Callithrix jacchus: one gene and its partners. The main gene of each other region encodes a partner of the protein of the gene in region 4 in a complex. Links are inferred from orthologs where the notes say so. Each region holds a gene or a part of one and is shown on either strand. Other genes may lie near its edges. The genes, in order: CBLL1, RBM15, METTL14, VIRMA, RBM15B and ZC3H13.

Region 1 (4,629 bases), on a different chromosome or scaffold from region 4:
ATTTAACAGCAACAATTTACAAACCAAATAGACCAGGTGTGTTTGTCCTTACTTGGTACTGAGGAGTCTGTAATAGGGTATTGGGGAAAACAAGTTCTCTGATAGCCCTCTTAGCTTTCTCATAACATATACAGTAACTATGTAAATGGAAGTCTATCAAAACATCTTGGAGCCCACTACCTTATAATTCATAGGTAGTAGCTAAAAAGGTGCACCTCAGTGCTTCAGACTATTCGTTACAGTAAGTTTTCACTTTTGTAAACCTTAGGTCAGTACCGAGCTATATAAATAAATATTAATGATGACTCTTCATAAAGAAGTTGTGAATAGTTACAGCACACCGGTCGCTGAAACTACTAATAAAATGTAAGTAAAGAGATTAATTTATCACACTGCTACTGCATTGGTAATTAAAGGCAACCACAATTAAGGGGGAAATGAATACAGACCACAGATGCTAAAGCCATGCATGAAAGTAAGAGATGTCAAATCAAATCCAACAAATGTTTAACATTTTATCAGATCTAAAATAAGTAAATCTTCTTTCAGTAAATTTTCATAACGACGCATCATAAAATACCCACAAAACTTGACTTAAAAATTATATAAAATACATTTTGAAAGCTTTTTAATTCAAATTATTTAAATATTAGCATCGGCAAACACAGTATTATTGTGAACATGGATTTGCATGAATCAGAAGTTTAGCTGAAAAAGTATGACAGAACAAAAAAAAAAATCAAAGCCAGTGGTGGTGATGAGCATCTGTAGTCCCAGCTACCGGAGGCTGAGGCATAAGGATCCCTTGAGTCCAGGAGTTCAAGGATGCAGTGAACTATGATTGTGCTATTGTACTCGTTTCTGCCGCCTCATCTCTAAAAAAAATTTTCTTAATATATGCAAAAAAGGTACTTTCTAGAGGAAAACTTTTTAAAATACTCCAAATTGGTGAAAAATGCCTGACTATATCAACTCTGTATTTAGAAATTAGGGAGGTATAGGGAAAAGGTTAGGCAAACTCCAATGCCCAAAAAAATAATTTCAGAAACTGAAAGCATCTTGAAAACCACTTAGCAATATAGAACTTTACATTTTAACAAAAGCAGGGATAATTTTGATTCACAAAGGTCCTTCGTTGTGAATGTACCTAAAAACTTGTTTATAAAGCTGCCTATATGCAGTGGAAAAGTCTTTTACAAGATCTCAGGAAAATAACCACTAAATGCATGGTGCACTTATATCGCACTGATCATAACAGTATGACTCACAGCTAATACCGTGCAAATACAAAGATATAACACATTGGTACTCATACTTTATTTGCAATTCAGTACCATGAAAACATTTCTCTAAGAGGTCAATATAATATTTTATTAATCTAGGAACTCTGGCACTGAAAGCGTGAATAACCCAAGGTGATGATGTCGTCACCAAGGGACGACAAGAATAGAACCCAAATCCCTTGACTCCCCAAGCTTGTGTTTTCCATTAATTGTGCTCCTTTCTATTCATCCACGAGCATCAAGCGTGAAAGGCTGGAGAAAGGACTAAATACAAAAAAGCCAAGTCCGCGAGGTGGAGACTGCACTGAAGGTCCTAGGAATCGCCCCTTGGCACTTTCCTTGTTTTGGCTGAGGAAGATGAAAGCAGCAGCAACCACAAACCCCTGGGACCAAGAACTGGAACTAGGTACTGCCTATTGTGGTATCTCTCTTCCTCATTTTAGGCCTTTCCTTTTTAACCTCTCCTTCTGGCCAAGCCTTGGCGCTCTCTTCCCTTCCCTCGGCTTCCATCCGCTCCCCTTAGCTCCACTCTGCACATTCCTGCTAGGTGTCCCCTTAAGAGGAGGCAGCTGCGCCGCCCAGGTTCTCCATCCTCCATCCGGCACAGGCGCCCACTCCTCGGGTGTTCGAGGGGTTAGTAGCGTCACAAGCGCTCTCCCTAGAAAGTGAGTGGCAGTCAAGCATTATGAATGTATTTCAACTGTAAAGAGACAAGTTGGGAACAGGGGCATATACCAAGACGGCTCTGCGTGAGTCTAGGTAGCTCGTCACAACAAAGCAAAACTTAAGACAATAAATGTTGCGACTTTCCTTCTAGCTGCGAGCTTCACAGCTCAGCCATCCCCTGAGCAATCTCCCACTGGAGGACGCCTTCCGGAGCGCCTGTGTTTACACTTTTCCTACACTCAGTGGAGGCAACAAGCGCTCCCGGACCACGGGGGATTCCAAACCGTTACTCCGCCCGCCGGGGTGGGGCCAGCACAACGGCCGAGCCTGCGCAGCCGGCAGCCGGCTTCGCGGCCCCCGCGCACTACAAGTCCCAAAAGGCAGCTCTCCGCGGGGGCGGGCAGCCGCCTTAGCTGCCGCGGGCTCATTTCTACCACTGCTCTCCCTCGCCCTGGTCCTCGCTGGTGCCCTTTTCACAGTTAAAGGCTACTTTTCCTTGAAGCACATGAGGAGAAGCCTTAGCGACCTCGCCACCGAACTTCGCGCGCTCGCTTTTTCTGCCTCCGCACCAACTATGCCTGAGTCCCTCACAGGAGTTGGGTAGTGGAGGCGAGAGAAGGAAGTCTTTGTAGACCAAAGCTGGGACAATCCGCTCGGACTTCCGCCTCCCGGCCTCCGGAAGGCAGTGCGCAGGCGCGGGCTGCGACTCCGGCGCGGTTGACTTCCGTTCCCACTGTGCTGTGCGAGCCGAATCATGGATCACACTGGTAAGGAGGCGGAGGCAGTGGGGGTCCCGGTTCCATGCCCCCTTGGCCGGCCTGGGACTGGTCGCCCAACAGGCAAAAGGGATTACGCTCGCCCCACAACACTTGAGTGTGGCAGTGAGAAGAAATCTCACAGTTGCCTTCCCGTGCCCGGGAGGGGCCTGCTGCTTCCTGGCCTACCCTCTGGTGCGGTACCTACCTCCTTGGTGCCGGCAACAGCCGCTCCTCTGTTTCTGCTGAGCTCCGAGCCCGGACCGGTGGGCGGCGTAGGCCTTTGGGAAGGGAGAGCGCCGGCTCTGTTTTATTCAGCCCAGCTGCTCTGCCCTGCATTATGGGGACTCGCGGGTAGACTGCGGTCTCGGAGTCGCGGAATCCGCTGGGAGTGGACGGGCTAGAGTGGGTTGGAGACTTCCTGCTGTCTCAGTCAGCTTTGGGCGGGTGCTGCAGTTGTAACCTCCTGTCGTCTCTCCTGTCCTTCATGGACTAGAGAGGTGAAAGAAAGGAGTGGGATATAGTTTTTGGAATCAAACTTGGTGGAGCTTTTCTGCCTAAACCAAAAGCATGCCCCGCGCTTCGGCTGTGGTCCTTACTCATCATTTGAGGGTATTTACAAAGAGGAGCTTAAAATAAAGACATTTTCATCCTTTTCTCCAAGTAAGAGTAGCTCCACCCTTTGTTATGTGTTTTCTGGCTTTTGCTTCTTTCTGGTTCTTGGATGGTGAATGTATGCTATTGGAATTAACAAGTGCCCCATAGAGTTATAGCGACCATATCACAAATAGAGAAAAAGTATTTTTCGTAAGTATTGAGTTGTCCTCACTCATCATATATCTATTATATAATTAGGTGTGTATGTTTGTTTATGCCAGATACATACAGATATGTATAGGTCGGGAGATGGAGGATGGAATGGTAAACAAGACGGACCAAGTCCCTGATAGACCTTCTATTTTATGGAAGAACACAGACAATAAGTTCTTTTTTATTGTTTGTTTGCAGATCATAAGTGTTTTGAAGAAAATAAACGGGTGTTTTGGAGAGATTCATAGGAAGAAATTTCAGAGGGTTGTTAGGAAAGGTCTTTGTGGCAGGGTAACATATAAGCTAAGATCCGATGGATGAGAAAATCCAGTCCTGGGAAAAAAGCAGGAGGAAGAGCATTTCCAGCAAGTGCATAGGTGCTGAGTAGGAAGATGTAGCGAAGTTAGCTGCAGCCTAGTAATAGCCAGAGAGTTGAGTCCTGAAGTGAGATTGGAAAGGAGGGCAGCCGTCACATTCAGGTCATTGAAAACCATGGTAAACGGTTGAATTTTATTTTAAGTGAATATGAAGGCATTGAACAGAAGTAGAGGAAGAACACAGTCTCTTTAAACAATGTAGTAGGCTGTTCTGTGGAGAATGGTGTAAGAGAGGGAGGTAAGAATGTTGGAAGATAGGTGATTGCAGTAGACCGGAAGGGAAGGTTGGTTTGGTGGAAATGAAGGAGAACGGGCAGCTTCAGTAAATACTTGGGTAGTGTTTGGAGGAATGTGAGAGAAAGGAGAAATGCCTACGTTTTTGGTTTGAGCAGCTAGGTAGTGTCCCCATTATTGAGTTGAGGATAACTCGGGGGAGAAAACAGTCCTTTTTTTGTAGAAGTGAGACAGGAAAATTTGGGAATAAGTGTTTAGTCTTGGACTATTTAGTGTGAGACAGCTGTTGAAACACAGGAGAGGAGATGTCAAGTGGAGATGAAGGGTTAAGAACTGCACTGAAAATACGTATTTGGAAGTTAGTACCTTTATTTATAGCTGGTGTTTTAAAGCATGAGGACAGATGAACCATGTAAGAAGGGTGTGCTGAGAAGGGAACCCAGCCTAGAACCAGGCTGTAAAGAATTCCGGTGTTTGGGAATTTTTATAGAGTTGAAACTCTGG
Region 2 (4,730 bases), on a different chromosome or scaffold from region 4:
GTCTTCTTTTTTCAAAGGGCTTTTTCTCTCAGTGGGAGCAGCTGTCCGGTGCTTCCTATCTCGTTCAGCTGATGCAGAGTTTTTACGGTCTCGCTTGTCACCCTGGCTTTTCTCCAAACTACCTCGTCTGTCTCTGACTGGAGAAGGCCTTTCCAAGAGAAGAAGACGGGAAGATCGATCATTGTCGCTGTTGTAACGATCCCGACTACTGCTCAATTCTGGACTGCGATCAGGAGAAGGAGCGCAGTGACGCTTTCGTGGGCGGTCACTTTCAGGAGACCTATCCAGATGTCGTCCTCCACTCTCCTCAGGCAGCCTTCGCTTCCTAGGCTGGTCTCTGCTGCTAGGCAGATCTCGATCACCTCTGTCCCGGTCCAAGGACCAACCATCTCGCCTGCGATCCAGGCTATCCAGTGGCTCATAAGCAGGCACAGAAGTAACTGCAGTCCGAGTGCTGCGTTCCCTGACTGGGGGTGGGGGTGGCACCCAATCAGAGTCAGGATAAAGGTCCCTATCACGATCTCTGTACAGTAAGGGTGGTGTCCTATCCCGAGCACCCCTCAAAGGGTCAGGTGCCCGATGTCCAAAGGCATCTGTCACCAGCTCATAATGAGTCAAGGGCAGAGGCTGCAGATATTGCTGCTGGTAACGATGCTCAGTGTCGGCAAAGTCTACTCTAAGGCGTCGATCTGGGCCACCAAGTGGGAAGCCCCGCATATGGGTCCAAGCAGCATGTGCTGCATCCAGGCTTTCATACTGGATATATGCCCAACTATCACCTTTTCGGTAATCTATGGTGCGTATGGTGCCAAATCGATCAAACTCTCGTGCCAGGGCAGCAAGAGGAACCCAAGGTCCCAGGCCTCCCACCCAGAGGCGGGTGGTGGGTGTAGCTTTACCATAACCAATTTTGATAGGATTCCGAATTATAATTTTGCCAGACATTGCTAATTTGGCCCGGTGAGACATATCTAGGTTCTCAAATTTGAGAAAGCCATAAGTACTAGTCTGGCCGCGAGAAGGCCTCTTGATATCTACTTCCGTGATGACTCCAAAGCGATCAAACGCCCTTCTTAAATCACTCTCGGTGACAGTGATGTCTAGGTTGCCCAAGAAAAGCGTCCGGTTGGCTCGCTGATCATCCTCGGGTGAAATCTCATCCACTTCTCTGAAAGGAGCAGCACCTGCTCCAGCTCCCACCCTTGGCTCAAGACTGTATGCTGGGCGCACTCTCTCGTAGAAGGGGTAGTCTCTCTCTCTCTCCAGCTCTCGAGGCAATGGTGGCGGAGGTGGAGGGGGCAAGCGGCCAAGAGCCAACTGCTGCAGCCGGTAGTCTCTGTATCCCAAAGCTGCGCCACCAGGGGAAAGGGATCTCTGGCCTCCACCCCCTCCAGGAGGGTGCCGGTGACCACCTACAGAGGCCCCGACCACGCTGGCTGATGGAGGGTAAGTATCTTTGTCTAAAGGGGAGCGGCTGCGGCGCCGGCTCACATACACAGCTTCTATCTTCAGAGGCCGGTCATACAGCACCAGGCGGCCTCTGGCATGCTTGGCCGCCCGCGCGTCCTCCGGCCGCCGGAAGTTCACAAAGGCTACCCGCTCATCCCCGCTGCCAGAACCCGACAGATGACTGATTTTGACACTTACATCACCGAAGCGTTTGAACTCATGAAACAGGCCGTCCTCCACCGCTTCGTCACTCAGCTGGGACCCCAACTCGCTTATCTTCAGAGTCTTGTATTCCCCGCCGTCCCCACTGCCGGGAGCTGAGGAGGCGGCCCCAGAGGAACGTGACTCCCCGCCTCCACCCCGGGAGCTGCTGCGCGACTCGCCCCCGCCTGAGGAATTTTTGGTGCTCGGGGAGCTATAACTATGCAAGCGGCTACTGGAGCTGCCCCCACCGGTGTCATACTCGCGGCTGCCACCTCGGCTGCTGGACTTGTCTAGGTGCAGACTCCGCCGCGACCCGCCGCCGCTATCTGTCTTTCCGCTGCTGCTCCCGTTGCTGCCACCAGAGCCACCTAACTTCTTGCTCCGCTCCCCGCGGGAAGTCGAGTCCTCACCACCACGGGAGCGTTTGGCCTTGACTGGCGAGCGCTCTTTCCCCTTCATTGTTGCGGGTCGTCGGAGGTCGTCTCCGCTGAGGTGATTAACCCGCCACCCCGCGCTCGTTTCACACAGCGGAACCGCACGCCGCCATCTTGGACTCCGCCGCGGCCCAGAATCCCGCCCCGCAGTCCTCATTGGCCAATTGGCTCTCTCTTCTACAGTCTCATTGGAAAAATTATTTGTCTATCTTTACATCTCCCCGCGCTCCAGGAAGGCGCCCGCCCAACCACTGTTATTGGGTTTCCAAAGCCCTAGTCAGAGCATCTCATTGGTTATATTTGTTGTCTATCTTAACGGTTCCTCGCGCCAGGCTGTAGCTCCGCCCCTAGCGCTCTACGGTCATGTGACCCAAAGTCTGGAGGTCTTCATTGGACGAAAAGTCTGCCCTGTAACGGTACTTCTTACTCGGTGAAAGCAGCAACCCCACCTCCTCATCCCTTTCATTGGCTTATAAACCCGTCCTTTAAACCACTATTTAGGAGGTCGGGCCATCCGCTTCAGCGTTTTTTCCAGAGGCAGCCTCACAGCGATATCGCGAGAGAGGGTGAGCTCCCTCTTTCGACCCCCTTTTCCCAACTCCTCCGGCGGCTAAAAGAAGTTTAAATCTGATTGGATGTCCGCAAGGAAGTTGATAAGCTGAAATAACTGTCCATCACTTGCTTAAAGGGGTAGGCCCGTATAAAGGAGGAGGCTGACTGAAGGTGAAAGACTAGAACACGTGCTTACTGTGCGACGTCACTTAGATGTCGCGAGAGGGTGGCTGTGAGCCAGCCCCGCCTCCCCGCCTTTTCGGCGTCCTCCCACAAACATTTGTTCAGTTCCGTGAGGTACTTAGCTGTGCTTCGGCCGTTGGAGTTCGAAACGTTCAGGCTCCCCGCCATCCTACCTGCGCCGGCCCAGGAGCGTGGCAGGCTCTCCGGCTGTCGGGGCCCTCCAGTCCCTCAGGAAGCCGTCTTGGGACGCCTAGAGGACACCATCTTAGGTCGCTGTGGCCGCTGCGTGAAAAGCCGGGGGGAGCCCCGCCCCCGCGCGCGGGAGAGTCCCGCCCGCGGTCACCCGGGCCCGCTGAGCTAGGAGTTCAAGGTTCCTGCAGCCCCAGGTCACGCCGCTGCCCCGGGGCGGTGCTGCCACAAGGAACTTCAAGAACTTCAAGCTGCGCGGCGAAGAAGCACTCCTCGCTTGGGGGCCCTGCTTTCCGGGGCGCTCCCCGTCCCCTCCCAAGTACTCTGGGTAGCAGAGGGGAGTGACCGTCGCTCCCCGCCTCTTGGCCCGCAGGCGGAGCCGGAACTGTCGGGACAGCGTGGACGTGTCTCTGGGCGGCCTGTTTTATTTTGCGAATCTGTGTGGATTTTTTAATTCTGTTGTCCCGTAAAATACCTATGTTTGTTTTTAACATCTAATGCTTCTCCCTGGAAAGTCATCAAGCGAAATTTAGGTTCCATGCAGATAATGTAACTTGGTTTCCCCGCTGTAACTTCTGGTATCCCCCACACTCCGCTTATTGTATTAGAAGCCAGCAGCGCAGGCACCTTGCGGCCGCTCCAGATCCACCTCGTTTGGCTCCTCCAACCGTCCGCTTTACAACTCTCTTTTCCGTAGAGCATTACTGTGGCGGACAGAGCACCTGTGGGAGGTGCAGGAGATGCCGAGCTTAGTGGGGTACGGCCTCCGCCCCAGCGCTCGCCGGCTGCTGGAGGGGCGCAGCGCTGAGGTCACCGCAGCCGTTAGACTGTCTGCAGCCCTCCCAGGTATCCGCCAGGGCGGAGGTTATGAGGATTCTTACATTGATCGCGTCCTCAACCTATTTCCCAAGATCTAATCTATGGTAGAGGGTGTGAGGTGTTTTTAAACATGACATTTTTCAAGGTAACAATAATGTCCCAAAAGCCGAAACCTAAACTTGAAAACGGTGTTAAGATTAGGAACTGTGGGCCGGGCGCGGTGGCTCAAGCCTGTAATCCCAGCACTTTGGGAGGCCGAGGCGGGTGGATCACGAGGTCAAGATACCGAGACCATCCTGGTCAACGTGGTGAAACCCCGTCTCTACTAAAAATACAAAAAATTAGCTGGGCATGGTGGCGCGTGCCTGTAATCCCAGCTACTCAGGAGGCTTGAGGCAGGAGAATTGCCTGAACCCAGGAGGCGGAGGTTGCGGTGAGCCGAGATCGCGCCATTGCACACTCCAGCCTGGGTAACAAGAGCGAAACTCCGTCTCAAAAAAAAAAAAAAAAAAAAAAAGGAACTGTAACCTAAATTTAGCGGCCGAGCCATCCTTTTGGTAAGTAATCCTGAGGAATGTGAAGGGGCAGGCCTTTTATCCCTTTATTAGATCAAAGAAATTTGAAGGAAGAAGCTCAATGGTAAAGCAAGAAAGTCTACGATATTGTAATGTATAAACATATTCATTGTATTAAAATAGAAAATAAAACCACAAGCCATAAAATAATGTGTATAACATGCTATCATTTGTGGTTTTAAAAATTACATTTGTGAGTATGTACATTTTAAAAATATCATTGCTTGGAAACTTCCGTGACAAATATATGGGAAAGTGTTACTAGGATCGCCCTGAGGCTGGGTGTGACGGTCTGGAATAGGAAGGAGACTTCACTTTTCTTTGT
Region 3 (4,908 bases), on a different chromosome or scaffold from region 4:
GCACCTTAACAGGAAAACAAAATCCTCCATTTGACAGTAAACTCTGTAAAGAAAAACTGACTTATTTCGTAGTTAATCTTTGATGAACTCTATAGACCGTAGGGTTTATCACAGTGCTTGCCATATAAAATCAGTATCAACAGACATTTAAAGGAATAAATGCCTATTCTTATCATTGGTAAAATTTAAATCAGTATTCAACTTAAATGATTGGCAGGTAATACAACTGATTTTTAAAGAAATACATTTTAACTCATATGGACATTAATATTTTACAGCACCCAAATAGTGCTGACATTACTCAAGGAATTTAGAACTACTTGTTCAAACTTGCCTTTCAGACCTAGTTCTTGAGAAATACATTATAATTATTTCTATAAAAGTGGGCAAGGACTAGTGGATGGAAACTAGTTCTTGGCCGCTTTTGGCCCAGCCTGACTCAACTGGTTTTAATCTGGATGATTTAATATTATTTTTGAAAATTAAATCCACTCTCAAAGAACAGACATGTTAACTAATTTTGGTAAGTACTTACCACGACTTCCAATTAAACTTGAGGCAACATTATGTTTTAGTCCACTTCCGCCGCTGTAAGTTTGAAATAAGACGGCAAATGTGGTGAATAATAATCGTAATAACTCAAATAAGACTTTGGCCTTTGCTACCTTCCTTTGAGGAGAGAATCACCACCTCCTAGCCCTCACCCTTCATCCTCCATCCCGGAAATTACTTCCGAGTAATTTCAGGAAGCTATGTTTCCTTATCCTTGGGTTATTTTCAGTTAAGACAAATGTACAAGCACAAAAAGGAGTGATGTGGAATCTAAAATTTACACTCAGGCTACTTCCAGTGCAGTCTTTAGAAAAACGTCAAATACTGCAAAAGTATTTCACAATGAAACCACGATCTCAAGAATTTGGTGCTGACGACGAGGAAAAGTAAAAAAGAGATGATCATTTAAATAGTGAAGAGAAATGTAGGGGATAACATGGCACTCATCCTGGCGTGAAAGCGTAGATCCTTGCCAGACACTTCGGTGGCAAGGAGTCACTTAGCTTCTGACTCCTAGGACATAACCCAAGACACACTTTACTATCACACACTCATTTCCCTAAACGGAAATAGCTCATGTGCCACGTTCTGTTTATCCTTTCAATCACAGCTCTGTGAGGTAGACACTTACTACTCCCAGTTCACAGATGAGAAGACTCAGGCTCAGGAAGGTGGTTAACTAGCCAAGGCCGCTCGGCTAGGAAGTGAGAGACCAAGGTTCAATCCTGGGCAATCTGGCTTAAGTTTGTGTTCTAAGTTAAAACAAACAAAAAAATTAAAGGTGTCTGGCAATGTTTTAAACGTCAGGAATTGTCATCTGTGTAATCAATTGAAAAGAGAATCAACACTTCGGAAACAGTGTGATACACCAAGGAGCCTAATACCGTGGGAAGGAGAGATAAAGGAGAGGTCAGTAACTATCCTCCTTCCGACTAGCTCAGACCACCCCATCCCGCGGCGGCCTAGAGGCCCGAATACCCCTGCAGAGTCACAGATCCCTTTGTGTCCCTTCATAGTGGCGTCAGATCGCGAGCGTACGGAGGAGGCGGGACTTCCGGGCCAAGCGAGCCAATTCCTGCCGCGCCGGAAGTACCTGCTGAGGAAAGCATGGAGGTTACTCTGTTCTTAAACTCCAGGTGAATACTGTGTTCCACAGACTCGGAAGAAAAGTTGGACAAGGGTTCACTGGCGATTGACAAATATTCGGGGTAGTGAAAAACAGCAGTTGGAACATGGATAGCCGATTGCAGGAGATCCGGGAGCGGCAGAAGTTACGGCGACAGCTCCTCGCGCAGCAGGTCCGCGGCCCTGGTGGTCCCTGCGGGAGGGATCGCGAATGCGAGTGCGCGGTCGCCTCCTAGTTCCACACCCCGCCTTTTTCTGTCCCCTCTCTACCTGCCGCTGTCAAGGTCTTTCTGGTCCTGCGATCCTGATCCCTGGTTCTCCCTTTCTTGTTCTCAACTTTTCCAGTGCACCGAATGTTTTTCCATTTCCTTCCGCGGTCTTTGTTATGCTAAACCGAATGCTAAGATTGGCTTCGAATCTGTGGAACGCCCACCGAGTGTCTGGCAAGGCTTATCTACGCTTTCACGCCAGGATGAATGGCATGTTATCCCCTGCATTTTTCTTCACTATTTAAATGATCATCTCTTTTTTACTTTTCCTCGTCGTCAGCACCAAATTCTTGAGATCGTGGTTTCATTGTGAAATACTTTTGCAGTATTTGACGTTTTTCTAAAAGACTGCACTGGAAGTAGCCTGAGTGTAAATTTTAGATTCCGCATCTTATGTATAGTATCCTTGTCACACCCACAGTTAATATTTGAAATCTTACTCTCTGTTAGTCACAATAATCTCTTGAAACAGGTAGTGTTTCCTAAACTTAACAAATAATAAAATAGGCTCCATAGGTTAAGGAATTTTACTCCTGGTCGCTCACTTCTCGGCTGGGAAATAGAACCTAGGTTTGTCTCCCCAAAGCTTGTCTTCTGAACCATTGTCCTTCACTGCTTCTTGTGTATGAGTAAGTTAACATTTGCCGATCAGTAGGGTATACGTGAAGAAAATACAGATTGTGCACAGTTCTACTTAAAATCGAGGCTATGTTTTCCAGTCTACCATTCAGATCAGTAAAAGTGATAGAAGAAATGCTCATGGACTGTAATTGGTCATCTTGCTGTTATTTTTCAGTAATGAAACTTGTTTTTAGTAAATGGAATTCTGAAACCTATTTATGATCTGATGAACAGATTTATGGTATACTGCTAAAACAGTGGGAACTTGGAATCACATTTGTTCCTTGTCCCTCTGGCATTATCATTTTGGACAAATCAAGTATCCTAAGTCTTCTTTTCCCCAACTTCTTAAAAGTTCAGTAGCTCTTTGTTGCTACCACAGAAGATGTTTCACTCCTTAATATGGAATTCAGACTTCTATTTGACTCAGGATGCATTCATAGGACAATTATTGGGTGTTTTACACTCAACAAATTGCAAGGGGTTCTAGTAGTCTTTGGCAAATGAACTACAAGTAATAGGTAGTCCCTATCCTTAAAGAGCTTCAAAAGTGCATAAAGTTTAATGATGGTTGCCATTTTTAAAGTCTCTTCTAATTATGTGTCAGACTTTAAGATTTTTACATACATTATTTTCCATCCTACATATCAGATGCTATCAGCATTTTATAGATGAAGAAATTAAGCTCAAAGAATTTAAGTTACATGCCTAAAGCCAAAAAGCTGGTAAGTTTGCAAGCTGCAATTTTTAACTTAGGCCCTATCTTTATTAGTGCATCTAGCTGTCTGCTGGTCTTCTAGTTGGACATGAACCATTCTACTTTAGTAAGGATGCCCAATATAATCAATGACCCACATCCTCATCCTCTTTACCAATTAACTTCAGCCTCTCTTTCACTTGCTTTTCTGTTTATGATGAACATGGCAGACTGGTTTATTACTCTCCAGAACACACTTTGTGCGATATAGCCTTTATGATGTTTGAAATTGTTCTCCTTCCATTCTGAATTCCTTGTAGCTTCCATGCCACAGCTTACAACATAGTGGTGAAATCTGTCCCGATCACCTTGGCTTAGGTGCACGCTTTGAGCTTTCATTGTCCTTATTGTTGAGTCTACTACTATATATCGTTTGTTAATTGTCAAACAGAATACCGACTGTTTGGGTGCAAAGTCTTTGCATTTGACTCCTGTTGGGTTAATCTCCTATCCCAGCATTGCTTCCTGCACAAAATAAGCTTTTAATAAATGTTTGTTGATTGATGAAATAGCGTAGAGCACAACTCAGTGTGTATAATTTGCTTTGGTCTGCTGGATTAAGACATTGGATGCATTAGGTAGGCCCAGACCATGATGTTGGCAATTGGATGCTATCACCAGCAATTTATACCTGCCTTTTATTTCAGCTTGTAGTTTTGTTTTATGAATTAGTTGCACTCTACTTAGCCTTATCTTAATCATTATTTGTTCACATTTATTAATTTCAAAAGATACCAAATTGTTATGATTATTCAGATAACATGTTTAGTGCCACCATAACAAAAAAAAAATGTTGGCCTGTGAGAAGACAATTAAACATGTAAGCAGAATTATGATTTAATACATTTCTCCTGTGATACATTGTATCCTAATTGAGACTCTAGTAGGAAATTTCATTTGTTCAGCAGATATTGATTAACATATACTGTTAGTCAAGTGTTACAGTAGTTGCTGAACATATAGGCAGGGTCTTCCTATAGGGATTTTACATTTTATTGGGGAGAAGTGAACAAAAACTGATAAAATAATTGAAGTATGCAAATAAAATAATTGAAAGTTGTGACTACTAAATAAACAATATAAATAGAAAATAAAAGTAAAAGATAAGTAATTGAAAGTTGTATTAAGTGCTATGAAATTGATAAGGAAACAAGGTAAAAAGGAGAATAATGGAAGGGGACTGCCTATCCATACAGGGAAGGAAAAAAATCTCTGAGTAAATAATGTGTACTCATCTGAGATAGGAAAAGAAAGGAATCAGTTACAGGAAGAAAGTTAGATAGCATTCCAACTGTAGGAAGTAGGTCTATTGTCTCCTGATTAAGGAGAAAAGGAGTAAGGAAGAGTTTATGGAGGAGTTGAAATTTCAGGAAGAGTTGCTATATTGGAAGAGATATATCATTGAGGGAATCTGAGGGGAGTCATTTTGTGTGGGTGGACTACAAGATTAGTGGATAGTTGTTTAAGATCAAGGCTGGTGACTTGCTAGTCTGATATTTTAGTATGCTTCCTCCCTTTTCCTGAGGTAAATGGACTATTTAATACAGATTTCTTCATGCCCTGCTTGTGCTTAAATATGTATAT
Region 4 (4,792 bases):
TTCTTCTTCATTACATCTCCCTCCAGTTCACCACTATCTTGAAATTTTAGTTATCATTCCAATGCATGTCTTTATAATTTCATGACATTATGTACACTCCTAAATATTTATATTCTTTTGCACTTTTTAACCATATAAATGTTATTTTACACTATTTAAAAATTTTTTTTCTTTTCTAAGAGATGGGTGTCCCCACTGGCCTTCAACTCCTGGGCTTAGGAGATCCCCTGTCTCAGCTTCCAGAGAAGCTGGGACCGCAGGAACATGCCACTACAGCAGGCTTCACTACATATTTCTAAACCTGTTTGCTTAACCCATTTTTTTTTTTAAAGGTGGAGGGTTGTTGCAATGAGGGGAGTTAAACTTTTTTTGTTTTGATTTTTGCCTCTCTTTTTTTTTATTTCATTTTTGTGAAGAACAGGGTCTTGCTATACTGCCCAGGCAGTTCTCCAACTCCTGGGCTTCAGCGATCCTCATGCCTCATCCTCCTAAGTGCTGGGATTATAGATAGGCGTGAGCCAACGCGCCCGGCAACCTTGCTTTTTTGATTTTTCATGCTGGTACATACAGCACTAGTTTATTCTTCCTACTTGCTATATTCTATTATATAAATACGCCACTGTTTACTTATGACTTCTGTCAATGGCACCTATGTTTCCTCCTCTTTTGCAATTTATAAAGTTTGCCATGAATATTTTTGTAATTGTAGATACGTGCGCAAGAATTTTCCTAGAAGAGGGGTAGGCACGTGCAATTTTACAGGCTATTTCCTAGTTGCTCTGCTAAGGGTTTGTGCCATTTAGACTACCAAACCCGCTGTGTTTATCTTGTTGTTCCAAAGCTCATCAACACCCGACAGGCTTACTTTTCATTCCGCCTCCTTTTTTATTGTTCCTGGTACTTCACATTATACAGTTCCTCGAATTTTATTTCAATTACTCCTCACAATCAGCCTGTGGGTTAGATACGATTTTTCACATTTTACAGATAAGAAAACAAAGAATTTCTTCCTTTGCTGAAACAAGTTTCTTTTCTTCCATTTAAATCAATGTCTTATTTTTCAACCTCGCTCACTGTACCTTTTTGCTCCCAGCGCTGGAAAAAGTGGGACACCCTCTTCGGTGAGTGTGCGGGGTTGGTATCCAAAGTTGGCAGCTTTCCCTCCTCCTCCTCCGCCCTCTCCAAAACCCCGGCACCGCACTTCGCCACCAGGGGCCGCTGTGGCTCCGTAACGCGGCGGAACGACAGGGTTTGAACCACTGGAGACCCTGTAGTCTCCTGTCACTTCTCTCCGCCCCATTCTGCTTTCTGGGGGCGCCCACCGCCGCGCTGGAAAAGGCGGGGCCGGCAACTTCGGGCAACAAGATGCGTTGGGATAGGGTGACGATTGCGGCGCTGGTTCTGTGGTCGCCGGAAGTGCCGCGGTTTTTCCCTCTTCAGGGCCGCTATAGCTGAGACTGGAGCGCTGCCCCGGAAGTTCTCTCCCTGTTCCCCGCCCGCGGCAAACATGGCGGTGGACTCGGCGATGGAGCTGCTATTTTTAGATACTTTTAAACACCCGAGCGCTGAGGTAAGGCTTGGCGACTTGATTCCGACCCTGCTTCTCTATTTTGGACCTTTACAAAAAAACCGTTAGGCGTCCTCGACTTTTCCTTCTGCAGATTTCTTCTTTAATTTCTCTCTCACACACAGACACCCTCCAGCGAGCGGTGTGAGCATTGCTTCTGACGGAGAGCTGCAGCAGCCCCTTCATTTCCTTGCTTTAACTTGGGCCCTCGGTGTCTTTGGTCGAATTGGCTTCTCTGCTTGCATGGCTTTATTTTTTATTTTTTCTGTCAGGTTTGGGCCTTGAGAAGGATCGGGGTTCTAAGGTTTACCTCTCGTGGCGTTTGTGGCGGGGGGTCTTGGATTTGACAGAAATGTTCGACAGTGCCGGACTCCGAGCAGCTTGCGTTGCTGCGTGGTTTCCTAATCACGATGTTTCTAAATCCTTTCTCTTTGGCTCCTTTTCTGTCAGGAGTTATGTTCCCCAGTTGCGACACTCATTCGGTTTAGGATTACGGTGCTCTCCACTTTGACCTGAAACTATAATACTTGTCTCGTGGAGAGATTTCACACATTAGGAATGAGACGCATTCACGGAGAGTACTGCGAAGAGGGGAGAGTTGAGAGAATTATAGTCAAACTCATCATCAGATAATGTTTTTTGAGGTCGGGGATGGAATGTTGTGGAGTAATGTTTCTGTACAAAATTGCTCGAGCACCTTTGAATGTACAATTGGCCCTGCAATATGTAAATTAAACATAGCTGGTTAACTTAAGATTGATGAGAGCAGATCAAAAGTGAACTTGAATGAAGTCCACGGAGAAATTGAAAAAAAAAAAAAAAAAACTTCACATTTCTCTGTCTTAATGTAAGTTTAATCAGATTAGAGAACTTTCTTTGGAGATTTTTTTTCCTTCTATTTTTATCAAGTGTGTTCTTGTATCAAGCTTTTTGAGGATGGGTATAATTTCTCTTTTTCTCAGCTGTATCTCCAGTGCCTCGTACAGTGTTAGCAATATAGGTACCCAGTAAATATTTAAATGGAAAATGTTTAAAATGTTCATTCTTTTGTGAGATAGTGTTGATAGTGGGTAGTGGTTGTATCGTAATGCTTTACTTGGCAAAATAAAAACTTGACATCTGTGATCTAACTGAACTAACGGTTTATAGGTCTGTAAAAGTCAAAGGTTGGAGAACTTGGAGTTAGCATTTCTTACTGATGATTAATTCACGGTCTCACATTTCATGTGGGTCACTTAGCACTATTTATTTAATGACTATACCTCTCTGACATTCCAGCCAAGATTTAGAAAACCCACAGTGCAGGCAGTATCAGAACAATACTGATGGGTATAGAAACAGAGAACCCAATATCATGGGTATAGAAACAGAGAACAGGTAAAACCGAAAGAGCCTGGCACAGTGGGTCATGCCTGTAATTCAGCACTTTGGGAGGCTGAAGCAGGACTGCTTGAGTCCAGGGGTTTGAGACCAGCCTGGGCAACATAGTGGAACCGCATCTCTACGAAAGAAAATTAACTAGCTGTGGTGGCTTGCTTCTATTGTCCCAGCGACTCGGGAGGCTGAAGTGGGAGGACTGCTTGAACCTGGGAGGTCAAGGCTGCAGTGAGCTAAGATTATACCACCGCGCTCCAGCCTGAGCAACAGAATGAGACCCTGTCTCGAAAGAAAGAGAAAAAGAAAAAAAGAGAAAGAAGCATATGATGAATTAGTTTAGTACTTTTCTAGTTTGGGAAAATTGGCATTCATTGGTTTATCACATATTTAATCTATTCTTTTATTCATTCCTAGGTAAACATCAAGTACCTTGAGAGGATAAGGCAGATGGTAAATGCCTTCTTTTGGGGTGATGGGGAAGGCTTAGTAGAGATCACATTTAGATCAAGTCTTGAAGGAGGCAGTAGGGGTTTGTGGGTGATATGAAATGTTGAAATGTTTGTTTTCAAGAAGTTATAGCTCAGTATTGGATATTAGATCCACAAAATTGTGATTTGAGTTAGAATGTGATGATCACATAAAGAAGCAGTGTGAATTCCTTGGGGTTCATCATCTTTGTTTACAAAATGCCCATCAGTATCTGACATATTAGAATTTGCTGTCTTTGTGGGTATAAATAAAGGATACATGATTTCAGAAGAGGCAGAGATAAATAACTTTTCATCTGAGTGTATCAGGAAAGATTTCATAAAGGTGTTTGGCTTATGAACTTGGGCTTTGGTGAAAGGGGTAATATTTCCCGGTTGTAGTTAGGAAAGGAGGGCATTCTACTGGAGTAGTTATCTGTTAGGATATGCTTAAAGTAGCAGTATGAAGTGGCACCCAAGGCAATTAGTTCAAAGGCACATCATGGAGCTCCTTGAATGCTCAATGAAGAATTATGAACTTTATTTTGTATGAAATGGGTAGTTTTTGAGCAGGCAAATTATGCAATTAGTAAGATACATTAGGTAGTTTACTTCATCAATAATACTTAAAATGGTTCAGAGAAAATAGGGGTGAGGTGACAAAATCAGGGAGAAAAAGTGAGATGTTATGAAAACCTGAGTTAACAAATGGACAGTAATCATTGCTTCTCCACGTTTATTGAATACTTAATTTGTACCAGACACAGTGCTTTGACAACTTAAGTAAATCATCTCTGGTCCTTCCATCTGTTTTTTTTTTTTTTTAGACTAGATCATGTTTTGTCACCCAAGCTGGAGTGTAGTGGTGTGTGTAGTCACAGGCTCACTGCAGTTTCTCTCACCAGGGCTCAATTGATCTTTCCATCTCAGCCTCCTGAGTAGCTGGGACTACAATTGTGTGCCACCATGCCTGGCTCATTTTTGTATTTTTTTGTAGAGACGGAGTTTTGCCATGTTGTCCAGGCTATTCTGGAATTTCTGAGCTCAAGTGATCCTCCCACCTCAGCCTCCCAAAGTGCTAAGATTACAGGCATGAGCCACTGCAGTGCCCGACTGAGTTTTCAAAGGTAGTCAAATACATTTTATAGATACGGAAACTGAGAGATTAGGTATCTTTACTAAAATAGCATAGCTAGATTAAGATCCACTGTCACACATTTTTCTGGTTCTGAAGGACTGCCATGCTATGTCCCAGTGGAACTACGGAGGAGAGGATTTATACAGTTTTGGATGTATACAGATTTCAAGTATAGAATTGACAGGATGGCAGCTGATTGTGTGAGGGAGATAGGGTAATTAAAAATGATGGATGTCTAGATTT
Region 5 (4,740 bases), on a different chromosome or scaffold from region 4:
GAAGCTTGCCTGCTGTCGGCCAAGATAAAAATGAACGCGAGTAGAGTCCAGACTCAAGCCTGCAGAAGTGAGGGGCCAAGAGCGACCCCTGCAGCAGTGGTGCTGGAAAGACGACATAGGGCATTTGTGTACATGCACTAGGGAAGTCTTTGATTCGTAGCTTGATTAAACCAGGACTCTGAACAGGTTTAAAAATCCATCCTCTGACAAAGGCTTTACTGACAACTTTCCATACAGTTGGTCAAAAAATAAAAAAATACAGAACCACAGCAGACAGTATCTTGTACACTAGAAATCAACAACCGGAGTCCCTTCTCATTGTTTAAAAAAAAAAAAATCCCCCAAACCTAAGAACTTAGTTTTGGTGGCGGAAAGGACTTTGATCCCCACCCAAATGAACCAAAATAACCCAGGAGAGAATTCAAACCAAACTGGTAGGGTAGAGAGGGGTTCAGATTTTAAAATAACTGCTTTTGTGACACAAACATGACGCTGGAAAAAACAGGCTTGGGCTAGGCAGTGTCTCTGACAATGACTATCACCATGTGTTCTTCTTCTAGCTTGCCCAATGTTCTTAGTGCTGACTGGAGGTACTGCTGGGAAAACTCGCAGGGCGGAAAGGCATAGAGCATGCCTGTGCCATCTCTGCCCTTGGACCCCCCCACTGGCAGGCTGATCACCCCTGCAGCCTGCTTCTGTTTCAAGTAGGAGACCAGGTTCCTGAGAAGTCGCCTCTGCAGACCTGGCTCCACTGTGGGCATCCCCTCAGTGCCAAGCCCACTGGGGGTTGCCTGGGTGGCTAAAAGGACTGCATAGCCGTTGGGGCTCCCCTGCTTGATGCGTCGTGTGACCTCGTCGAGCTTGGGCTGGTCCAGTCGAAGGCGCTGGGCGATCTTCAGCTGGGTCAGCTTGCTCCCAGAAGTGTGGTCTTTGAGGAGACTGCTGATCACTCCCTGATCCCCCTCTAGGATGTGCATAGATGTGGGGAAGCAGCTGTTTTTCAACACCAAAAGCCCATTCCAACCCAGCTGTAATGTCTGAGCGTAATCTGAAAGATTCTTCAGCTTTTTGGTCTCATGTTTTGGCTCTTCAAGAGGCTTGGGCTCAGCCTCCGTGGTCCGGTGATTGCGCTCGCTGTCTCTTGCCTTCTTCCCATGGGAAGAGTCTGCAGCCTCGTGGTGGTGGTGATGGTGGCCCCGTTCCTCGGCCCCATGTCTGCTGTTGCTGAGGGAGTTGCTGCTGGACTCCTTGGTCCCTTCACTGGAGTGGTTCTCCTTGCGGCTGCGCTCAGGGGTGCGGTCCGAGCCCCGCTCTGACTGCTGCCCACTGCCCTTGGTCCTGCTCCGTTCCTCATACGGGGAGTGAGTTGTCCTCCCACGGTCACTGGAAAGGCTCCTCCGTTTCCGCCTCTCTTCCCAGGGCTTGGGTAAACCACGGTCCCCATCTCCCCCCCAACGCTCACCACTCCGGCTGCGCACTGAGCGACTGTAGCCCTCAAGGCTATTTCGGCGGTCGGAGCTTTTACTGGGGCTGGTCCAGTCCCCTTCCAAAAAGGTCCGGTCTCGGTCTGAGTACAAGAGGTGTGGGGGCGTCCTGTCCCGCACCAGGTCGGCGTCCAAGTTGCGGTGCCGGGTATATCCATCTGTTAGCAGCTCATAATGCACAGGGAGCGGTGAGGGCTGGTACTGCTGGGGGTACCGTGTCTCCTCTGCTTTGGCAAAATCCACGCGGAGCCTGCGGTCTGGTCCACCCAAGGGAAAGCCCCTCATTTTAGCACAGGCGGCCTGGGCTGCGTCCAAGCTCTCGTACTGGATATAGGCAAAGCTATCTCCTTTGACATGATCAATGGTCCGAATGCTCCCAAAGCGGTCAAACTCCCGGGCCAGAGCCGCCAGTGAGGTGTTAGGTCCCAGGCCGCCCACCCAGAGACGAGTGGTAGGGTTGGCCTTGCCATAACCTATCTTAATGGGGTTGCGACCAATCACTCGGCCTGACATGGCCACCTTAGCCCTATGGGCCATGTCCAGGTTCTGGAACTTGAGAAAGGCATAGGCACCACCCTGGCCACGGGCAGGCCTCTTGATAACCACCTCCTCGATGATGCCGTATTTCTCAAAGGCGCGTCGCAGCTCCACCTCAGATACGCTGTGGTCCAGGTTCCCGATGAAGAGGTTTCTCGTGGCCCGCTGGTCGTCCTCGGGCATCAGGTCCTCCTCGCACACAGCCGGGTAGCCATAGGGGCGCCCACGATCGTCATACAGCCCGTAGTAGTCCAGGGCCCGCTCGCGGGACAGTCCCACGGCGGCGGCGGCAGCATCCAGGGCGAAGGCTGCGGCGGCGTGGCGGGCGCGGGGCTCTCGCAGGGGCGGGGCAGCGACGGGGGACAGCGAGCGCTGCTTGTACTGGTAGCCTCCGTGCAGCGGCAGGTAGCCGAGCGGGTCGGCGGGAGCGGGCGGTCCTGGGGGAGGCGTGGAAGCGGCGGCGCTGCTGCTGCTGCTTCGCCGGCTGCTCCCGCCGCCGCCGCGCAGGTACACGGGCTCTACCTTAAGCGGGCGATCGTAGAGCAGCAGCTGGCGGGCCAGGGCGTGCTGGCGGGCCTCGCGCGCGTCCTGTGGATGCCGAAAGTTCACGTAGGCCACACGGCCCAGCTCAGGCGTGTGCGACAGGCGGAGGCTGATCTCGCCAAAGCGCTTGAACTGGTGGAAGAGCCGGTCCTCGAGGTGCTCGGCGGGCAGCGCTGGGCTCAGGCTGCTGATGAGGAGCGTCTTGTACTCAGGCGCAGCCGCGGAAGAGCCGGGACCCGTGGGCTCGGCCCCAGGCGGCGGCGGCGGCGGCGGCAGCGGAGACGTGCGGGGCGACAAGCCGGAGGCGCCCGGATCCCCCGAGGCCTTGCCGCCGCGTCCCCCGCCGCCAGCGCCGGAGCTCGAGGAGCGGCCACTGCTCGCACGGTGATTAGCGTCCCCGGCGCCGCGGCTGTCGCGATGCCCGCCCCCGCCGCTTCCGCTGCCGCGGGGTTTGTCGCGGGCCCGCGCTGGAACCGGGTGCTTGGCGCCGCCAGAGGCCTTGTGCGCCGCCCGCCGCCCGCCCGCCTCCGCCTCCCGTTCGCGTTCCCGCGGACGCTTGGCCGACGATGACGAGCCGCGCCCGCTCGGGCTAGAGTCTCGCTCGCTCTGCCGCTTCATGGCGCTGGCGCGGCGGGCGGGCGGCCCGTAGGTTTCTCACAGCGGCGGCGGCGGCGGCGGCGGCGGCCGAGGAGGCAGCGCCCCCGGCGCCGCCATCTTGGACAAAAGGACTCGGCGCGGCGGCGGCGGCGGGGCGGGGCGGGAGCGGCGCCGAGGGGCCTGGCATTGCGTTATCAAGCTGCGCCGACCGTGCCACGTGACTCTGTGGCGGGCGGAGCGAGACACGCGTCGGGCTGCGTCATCGTGCTGCATCGCCCAGTGCCACGTGACCCCCGTGAGCGCCGGGTGAGTGGGCCTGGGCCTCGCGCTCTAGCGCCACCGCGCGGCCCACATGGGCGATGCTTGAGGCTACGCGAAGTGAAGGGAACCCTGAGAGGTACGCAGGACGACCTAACGCTTTGTGCTCCCAGGCGTGCTTTGCCGCTCTGGGTTCAGCTATCTCCTCCCGCAGGAGCTGGAGCCCGCGCTGACTGGAACAGGAAGGAGTGGCGGCTTCCGTGGGCTGTCGGGGTCTGGGGCATTGACCCAGTCAGTGGTGTGTATGTAGTACCCCTCAGCCCCAGGACTAGGCTTTAGCAAACTCCCGTATCACCCTCCTTGGCATCTTCTGCCTGGGATCTGGGGTAACTGCCCCAAGGACAAATGCATGCCCATCTCTAGGCCCTGTCTAGGACCCAAGGCCCACATTCTGGGCATCTTCCACATGTAAGTTCACCTGCTGCAGTCCCCAAAAAGGCCATGAGGACCATGGCTGTGCATGTAGGTAATAACCAAAAGCAGTGACAAGCCTGCAGTTGAAGTTGATGGAGTTGGAATAGACTCTTTAACGCCACTCTTTGGTCCCACCCTCTTCTTTGGCATCTGGGCAGAGAGCAGGCTGGAAAAGTAGAACCACAAGAGCCAAGGATGAAGAGGTCAAATGCATAGATAGTAATGACAGTTAACACAGCTTGCCACACTGACCCCTCACTGGCCAGTACCCTCCTGTTCACCTTCAGGAGGACCTCTTCTCTCCATGTGAGGTGAAGGAAAGGGTGCCCGAGCCCACTGAGGGAGCTTTCATTCATGACAGTTGCTAGAGCCATGGTAGAACCTGATCCAATTTCTGGCACAGAATCCTCGCGATGGGGAAGAGCACACTAAGTCTTCCCCTCTTCCCACAGTGAGAAAGCAGCTCAGGCAGGTGCAGGGGGAAAGGTCTTGGAAGAAAGCAACAAGCTCCATGGCAGCCTGTAAGGCCTCCTACAGGCAAGCTGAGCTTAGGAGACACAGTGAAGCGCTCTGAAGCAAGAGCAGTTCCTTGGAAAGCATTGGGTCTTAGTCCTTCCTTTCAGGTGGTGTCTACAGGCATCTTCACTGAGCCAAGGCTCACACCAACACCTGGGGTTCCTAAGCACCAATGCCACAGAGAGCGGCTTCAGAAGCAGACTCCAGAAAAGACCTGGACCTCAACAATTAATTTAGGGTAAACAAAGGCAAAAAGCAGCTTCCCACCCCCTCTTTTTTACCAGTCTTGTAAAAACTGGAACAGACATCAGAAGTTTGGGATGGACACTAG
Region 6 (4,172 bases), on a different chromosome or scaffold from region 4:
TATAGTATCATCATCTGATACTTGTATCTCTAGTTCAGTTACCCAATTGTGTCACTGGATTAGATTTTTATTATGGTTTCAGTTTTTGAATGTTATATTTACTTTTTAAAAAATATTTCTATGTTTACATTAAATCCAACAGAGCTTAAAGGTGAAATAAAATAAAAATATTTTTATAATTTGTCTATTTTTTTATTACTAATAATGGTAAAATAGTCTGTTAATTACTTTTAACACCTTTGAATTTTATGTCAGTGTAGTATGGATTATAGAAACACCTTGACTTTTTCTAGTTCTACAATCTGTCCTGTTTTGAAAGTTGTCTTTAGCGACATTGGGTTTTCTTTTTGTGTTACTGGAAAATAAATAAGCTTGATCAAATTGCTTTGATCTCTGTAAGGCAAAGAAAATATTAAAATATCATTCATTTTTCTCCAACCTGATTTTTGGAACATAACTACTATTGTCACTTAAACTTATGAAGTATGATTTCTGCTATCAAAATTTTCACCCAGTTTTGTTTTCCAATTTTCTTTAGCGTAACTCTTCTTCATTTAACCAGTTGATGGTTAACAACTTTTTCTTAGAGGTTAGAGTTACTAAATTTTGAAGCAATTTTTGTAAGTAACTTTTATAAAGTAAAGATTTTGTGCTATGTCTTCTGAGGTTGATTGTACCATGAAAACTTCACTGTGTGAGTAGAATCATATTTGTTCACTCTGCAGAAGAGGTACAATTCTAGCCAACAGATTTCACAGCTGTTATAAATTCACCAGTGAGACATGTGTTAGAAGATACCTTATCTCTGTTTACCTGTGACCTCTCCTATGCCTTTTTTATCTCCCAAGGAAAATGCCGTGTAATTTTACACTGTTACCTATAGTTTTATCTACTTGTAAGTTGTGGGCTCAGTTATTTAAAACTGAAGAATTTTACAGTTTTGCCTCTTTCTTTTTTGGTTAAAGTAGTACAAAATGTCAAAAATTAGAAGGAAGGTCACAGTGGAAAATACCAAGACCATATCTGATAGCACATCCCGAAGACCCAGTGTGTTTGAGAGGCTTGGACCCAGCACTGGCAGTACACCAGAGGTGAGTTGTCACTAGGATAGTCACAGGGGTTCTCTTAGAATTCTGTTACTGAAATGCTCATTTGTATCATAAAGGTGAACCGGTTGGTTTATTGTAGGAAAGTTGGTTCAGTAATTTTTTCAAAGGCGGTAAGGTTTATGGGTTTTCCATATTTTTTTCCTGAAGTTTTTATTATTTGGGGAGTAATATCTCACAGGTTAGCTGGAATTTTGATAGCATTTGTTTTAATTTTGTCCCACTAGCATTTTTTTCCCCAGAACTCAATATGAAATTTACATGGTAATATCTGTCTCTTAGACACAGTGCCGTAACTGGCTGAAGACTGGCAGCTGCCTCTATGGAAACACATGTAGATTCATACATGGCCCTTCACCTCGCGGTAAAGGTTATAGCAGCAATTATAGAAGGTAAACTGAAAACTCTGAATTGTTTATGTACTATTAGAAGATGGCTTTTGTCATTTATTGAGTATAAAAATCTGAAATACAACCGTACATTTGGTCAGATTTTCCTTATTGGTAGTAGTCTTTCCAGTAGTCAAAGTTTGACAAGATCTTTTTGTTTTTATTTTCAAGATTAATAAATTGTTTGCTTTAAAATTAACTTATTCAGTATTTACTTGTTATGACAATAGATCTTTTTGTAATATGTGTATTACTTTTTTCCCCCAATTATGTATTAAATTGATGCCTGAGACAGCAGAATTTCATGGTGTCTGAATTTCTTTTTAGTGAGGCTAGACTATTTTAAAATCTTAAAATAGGAAAATTAAAATTGGGTATAATTTTAAGATGTTCTGAATTTGAATTTTGTACAAATTCTGTACCTTGTCACAGAGTGTTAATGTTAATGAAAATACATATTTATATGTGGATAAATGTACTCCATCTTTCAAACATCATTTTGCCTTTAGTAAAGGCTTGGCTAAATTAAACTTGCTTTATAAAGACCTTTTATTTTTCTTTTGGTCCCTCATGATAATTCTTTTATGGTGTTTAAAGATGTAATATATATAACATTAGTCACAAAAACAGTTTTAACTTGATTGGTAAACAAATAATTTACCTAGTTCCAAAATTGGTTATGCTGACTGTTTTGGCTATAGCATAGAAACTGTGTAAAAACTGAACATTAGTAACTGGAGATTTTTTTTTTTTTCTTTTTATTAGTTGGGTGATTTTGAGGGGGGTAGTGTATGGGTAGATTTTATTTAGTAGAATTTAAAATTCAAACCCTCAACATTAGCCAACTTCCTTTTCACATAACCATTGTATATTTTAGTTTATTTGTGATTCTGAATACTGTTTTATTTGTATTTAGATTGTCATTTGTCACTTCTGTTAATGTGGGATAATTAGTGTTATTATTGTATATGTATATATACATGTGGATACTTACATGGTGAAACTATTTCCATAATTTTAATGTTTTGCTTACATTAATGCTACAGTTTTAATATTTTTAAAATTCATCTTTGAAATTTATAAGCTGACTCAATTTTTAAAAAATAATTTTCAGAGAAATGGTCAGAGAAATTTGTCTATAATGGGAAAAAATAATGTCATTGCTAGACTTAGAATAAAGGATATTTATTATAATTTTGCCATTTTGTGTGTGTTTTTCCATCTGATAACTTCTTTTGTATTCGTGCATTTTTTTTTATAAGGAGAAAAATATATTTCATAATGTGAGTTAAAGATGAGAAGAAAAGTAATGTATTTTACAAAATGCTCACTTATATGCTTATATACAAGACTTAAGTAATTTGCTGAGAATTTGCTGTGTGTAGAACACTCACTCTGTTGGGTGCTGTTTAGGATAGAAACAAGTTCATAATAAACTGTTTTATTATGTAATATAAAACAAACCAGCACACACAGGATTTGCATGTACATCATAATCATAATTTAAAGCACTTAAGTACTGGTTCTTAAAAAGACGTTCCAGTTTCAAGTTTAGCTTTAACTGTTAAAACATTTAATATACATCTTTTAAATGTGCATGTAAACTTTAATGAGATCCTTTAAAGTGAATTAACTCAAATTATTTATTCACTAACCTTATGATTTATATTCATAAAATCAAGGAATTGATTTGATTGATCAGTGGCTGCTTGAAATGGATGTGGATATTTATATGATTTGTTCATATCTTTTTTATAGACAGTACTTTTTTGTAGTCAAAGAGGAACAGAGCATTTTTTAACTTCTTTTGCCTTCTTTTAAAGCTGTTCTAGAAATAGCCTTTAAAGGCAAGGTGTTTTCTGTCTCTCCTCTGTTTTTTCCAGCTGATAGAATAATTGCATAGCCATATGCTGTCAAATTCCTAGCATAAATAACAAAGCCTTACCACTGCTGAGTACATATATGCGTTTTTCTTTCAATTAAAAAATATTTGCAACAGATTTTGAAAATCACTGTTGTAAAATTTTGCTTTGACTCCTTTTCTGTCTTTATTCTGAAATAAATTAAAATTTCAGAAAAATTATCAAGCTCCTATATTTGCTTTGATTCTGAAGTTATATAAAGTATTTTCTCAGTTGTTGACTTTGCATCCAACCACATGCATGTATATATAAGAAACTTGTTTCTTGTGATGTCTTCGTATATCTTGCATGTATATTTGATAATGCTGCTACCTCTAGATTAATTTTGCAACTTTATAGTTTAAAACTGTGTTAGTATTATTATGTTTGGCTTCCACATGTGACTAATATATTCATGTGATTAATAGGAAAACAAGTCAAGCTATTAATTCCTTGTTCTCAGTTCACATGTAATTCCTTATTCACGTCACCAGTACCTGCCACTTCATGGAATTTTAACATATACGTTTTTATTGTTAATGGAAGAAAAACTGTAAGTGTTGCTTATGTTTTGCATATCATATTTAAGGTGAAATTATTTTTCAGAAATTTAGGAGTCAGGGTCACAAAAAGTATATTGAGATTTGTGAGGTTATTTCTGTAAATACATCTATAGAAAATATTATTAATATATAAACATAGATTTCTGTTGTTTTGTTTCGTTTTTTTTTGTTGTTGTTGTTTTGATTCAAAGGTCACCAGAAAGACCTACAGGG

Evidence for each region.
Region 1: VIRMA (region 4) and CBLL1 share a complex: the UniProt entries of both Homo sapiens proteins name them as parts of the WMM complex. The link is inferred for Callithrix jacchus from reciprocal best matches to the Homo sapiens genes VIRMA and CBLL1.
Region 2: VIRMA (region 4) and RBM15 share a complex: the UniProt entries of both Homo sapiens proteins name them as parts of the WMM complex. The link is inferred for Callithrix jacchus from reciprocal best matches to the Homo sapiens genes VIRMA and RBM15.
Region 3: VIRMA (region 4) and METTL14 share a complex: the UniProt entries of both Homo sapiens proteins name them as parts of the WMM complex. The link is inferred for Callithrix jacchus from reciprocal best matches to the Homo sapiens genes VIRMA and METTL14.
Region 5: VIRMA (region 4) and RBM15B share a complex: the UniProt entries of both Homo sapiens proteins name them as parts of the WMM complex. The link is inferred for Callithrix jacchus from reciprocal best matches to the Homo sapiens genes VIRMA and RBM15B.
Region 6: the proteins of VIRMA (region 4) and ZC3H13 are in contact, whole or in part, in a cryo-EM structure (PDB 7VF2), measured with the Homo sapiens proteins. The link is inferred for Callithrix jacchus from reciprocal best matches to the Homo sapiens genes VIRMA and ZC3H13. Residues at the interface, in NP_056311.2 of Homo sapiens: Leu521, Ser529, Tyr531, Gln532, Leu535, Glu536, Ile538, Leu539, Leu540, Asp541, Val544, Val547, Thr548, Ser551, Leu554, Gln555, His558, Glu561, Val562, Ser564, Glu565, Lys567, Gly570, Asp571, Ala574, Glu575, Thr577, Ser578, Glu621, Glu625; in NP_001317494.1 of Homo sapiens: Pro1492, Leu1493, Asp1494, Val1495, Ile1496, Asp1497, Val1498, Asp1499, Trp1500, Ser1501, Gly1502, His1507, Leu1518, Lys1520, Phe1521, Pro1523, Val1526, Met1527, Arg1529, Val1530, Gly1531, Ile1532, Ser1533, Lys1535, Leu1536, Ala1537, Gly1538, Leu1541, Lys1544, Val1545.

Annotation. Positions count from the first base shown.
Region 1 is NC_133512.1:78,201,583-78,206,211, forward strand, and holds the start of CBLL1 (E3 ubiquitin-protein ligase Hakai), read left to right. Parts: upstream 1-1,464; 5' UTR 1,465-1,640; coding exon 1,641-1,689; intron 1,690-2,341; exon of another isoform or gene 2,342-2,703; coding exon of another isoform or gene 2,704-2,716; intron 2,717-4,629. UniProt on the Homo sapiens protein: E3 ubiquitin-protein ligase that mediates ubiquitination of several tyrosine-phosphorylated Src substrates, including CDH1, CTTN and DOK1. Targets CDH1 for endocytosis and degradation.
Region 2 is NC_133508.1:148,190,382-148,195,111, reverse strand, and holds the start of RBM15 (RNA-binding protein 15), read right to left. Parts: upstream 3,338-4,730; 5' UTR 2,245-3,337; coding exon 1-2,244. UniProt on the Homo sapiens protein: RNA-binding protein that acts as a key regulator of N6-methyladenosine (m6A) methylation of RNAs, thereby regulating different processes, such as hematopoietic cell homeostasis, alternative splicing of mRNAs and X chromosome inactivation mediated by Xist RNA.
Region 3 is NC_133504.1:78,847,501-78,852,408, reverse strand, and holds the start of METTL14 (N(6)-adenosine-methyltransferase non-catalytic subunit METTL14), read left to right. Parts: upstream 1-1,650; 5' UTR 1,651-1,784; coding exon 1,785-1,850; exon of another isoform or gene 1,851-1,870; intron 1,871-1,934; exon of another isoform or gene 1,935-3,238; coding exon of another isoform or gene 3,239-3,292; intron 3,293-4,908. UniProt on the Homo sapiens protein: The METTL3-METTL14 heterodimer forms a N6-methyltransferase complex that methylates adenosine residues at the N(6) position of some mRNAs and regulates the circadian clock, differentiation of embryonic stem cells and cortical neurogenesis.
Region 4 is NC_133517.1:32,643,264-32,648,055, forward strand, and holds the start of VIRMA (protein virilizer homolog), read left to right. Parts: upstream 1-1,481; 5' UTR 1,482-1,507; coding exon 1,508-1,570; intron 1,571-4,792. UniProt on the Homo sapiens protein: Associated component of the WMM complex, a complex that mediates N6-methyladenosine (m6A) methylation of RNAs, a modification that plays a role in the efficiency of mRNA splicing and RNA processing.
Region 5 is NC_133516.1:33,967,286-33,972,025, reverse strand, and holds RBM15B (putative RNA-binding protein 15B), read right to left. Parts: upstream 3,286-4,740; 5' UTR 3,183-3,285; coding exon 513-3,182; 3' UTR 188-512; downstream 1-187. UniProt on the Homo sapiens protein: RNA-binding protein that acts as a key regulator of N6-methyladenosine (m6A) methylation of RNAs, thereby regulating different processes, such as alternative splicing of mRNAs and X chromosome inactivation mediated by Xist RNA.
Region 6 is NC_133506.1:165,240,548-165,244,719, reverse strand, and holds part of ZC3H13 (zinc finger CCCH domain-containing protein 13), read left to right. Parts: intron 1-965; exon of another isoform or gene 966-968; 5' UTR 969-974; coding exon 975-1,091; intron 1,092-1,388; coding exon 1,389-1,498; intron 1,499-4,150; coding exon 4,151-4,172. UniProt on the Homo sapiens protein: Associated component of the WMM complex, a complex that mediates N6-methyladenosine (m6A) methylation of RNAs, a modification that plays a role in the efficiency of mRNA splicing and RNA processing.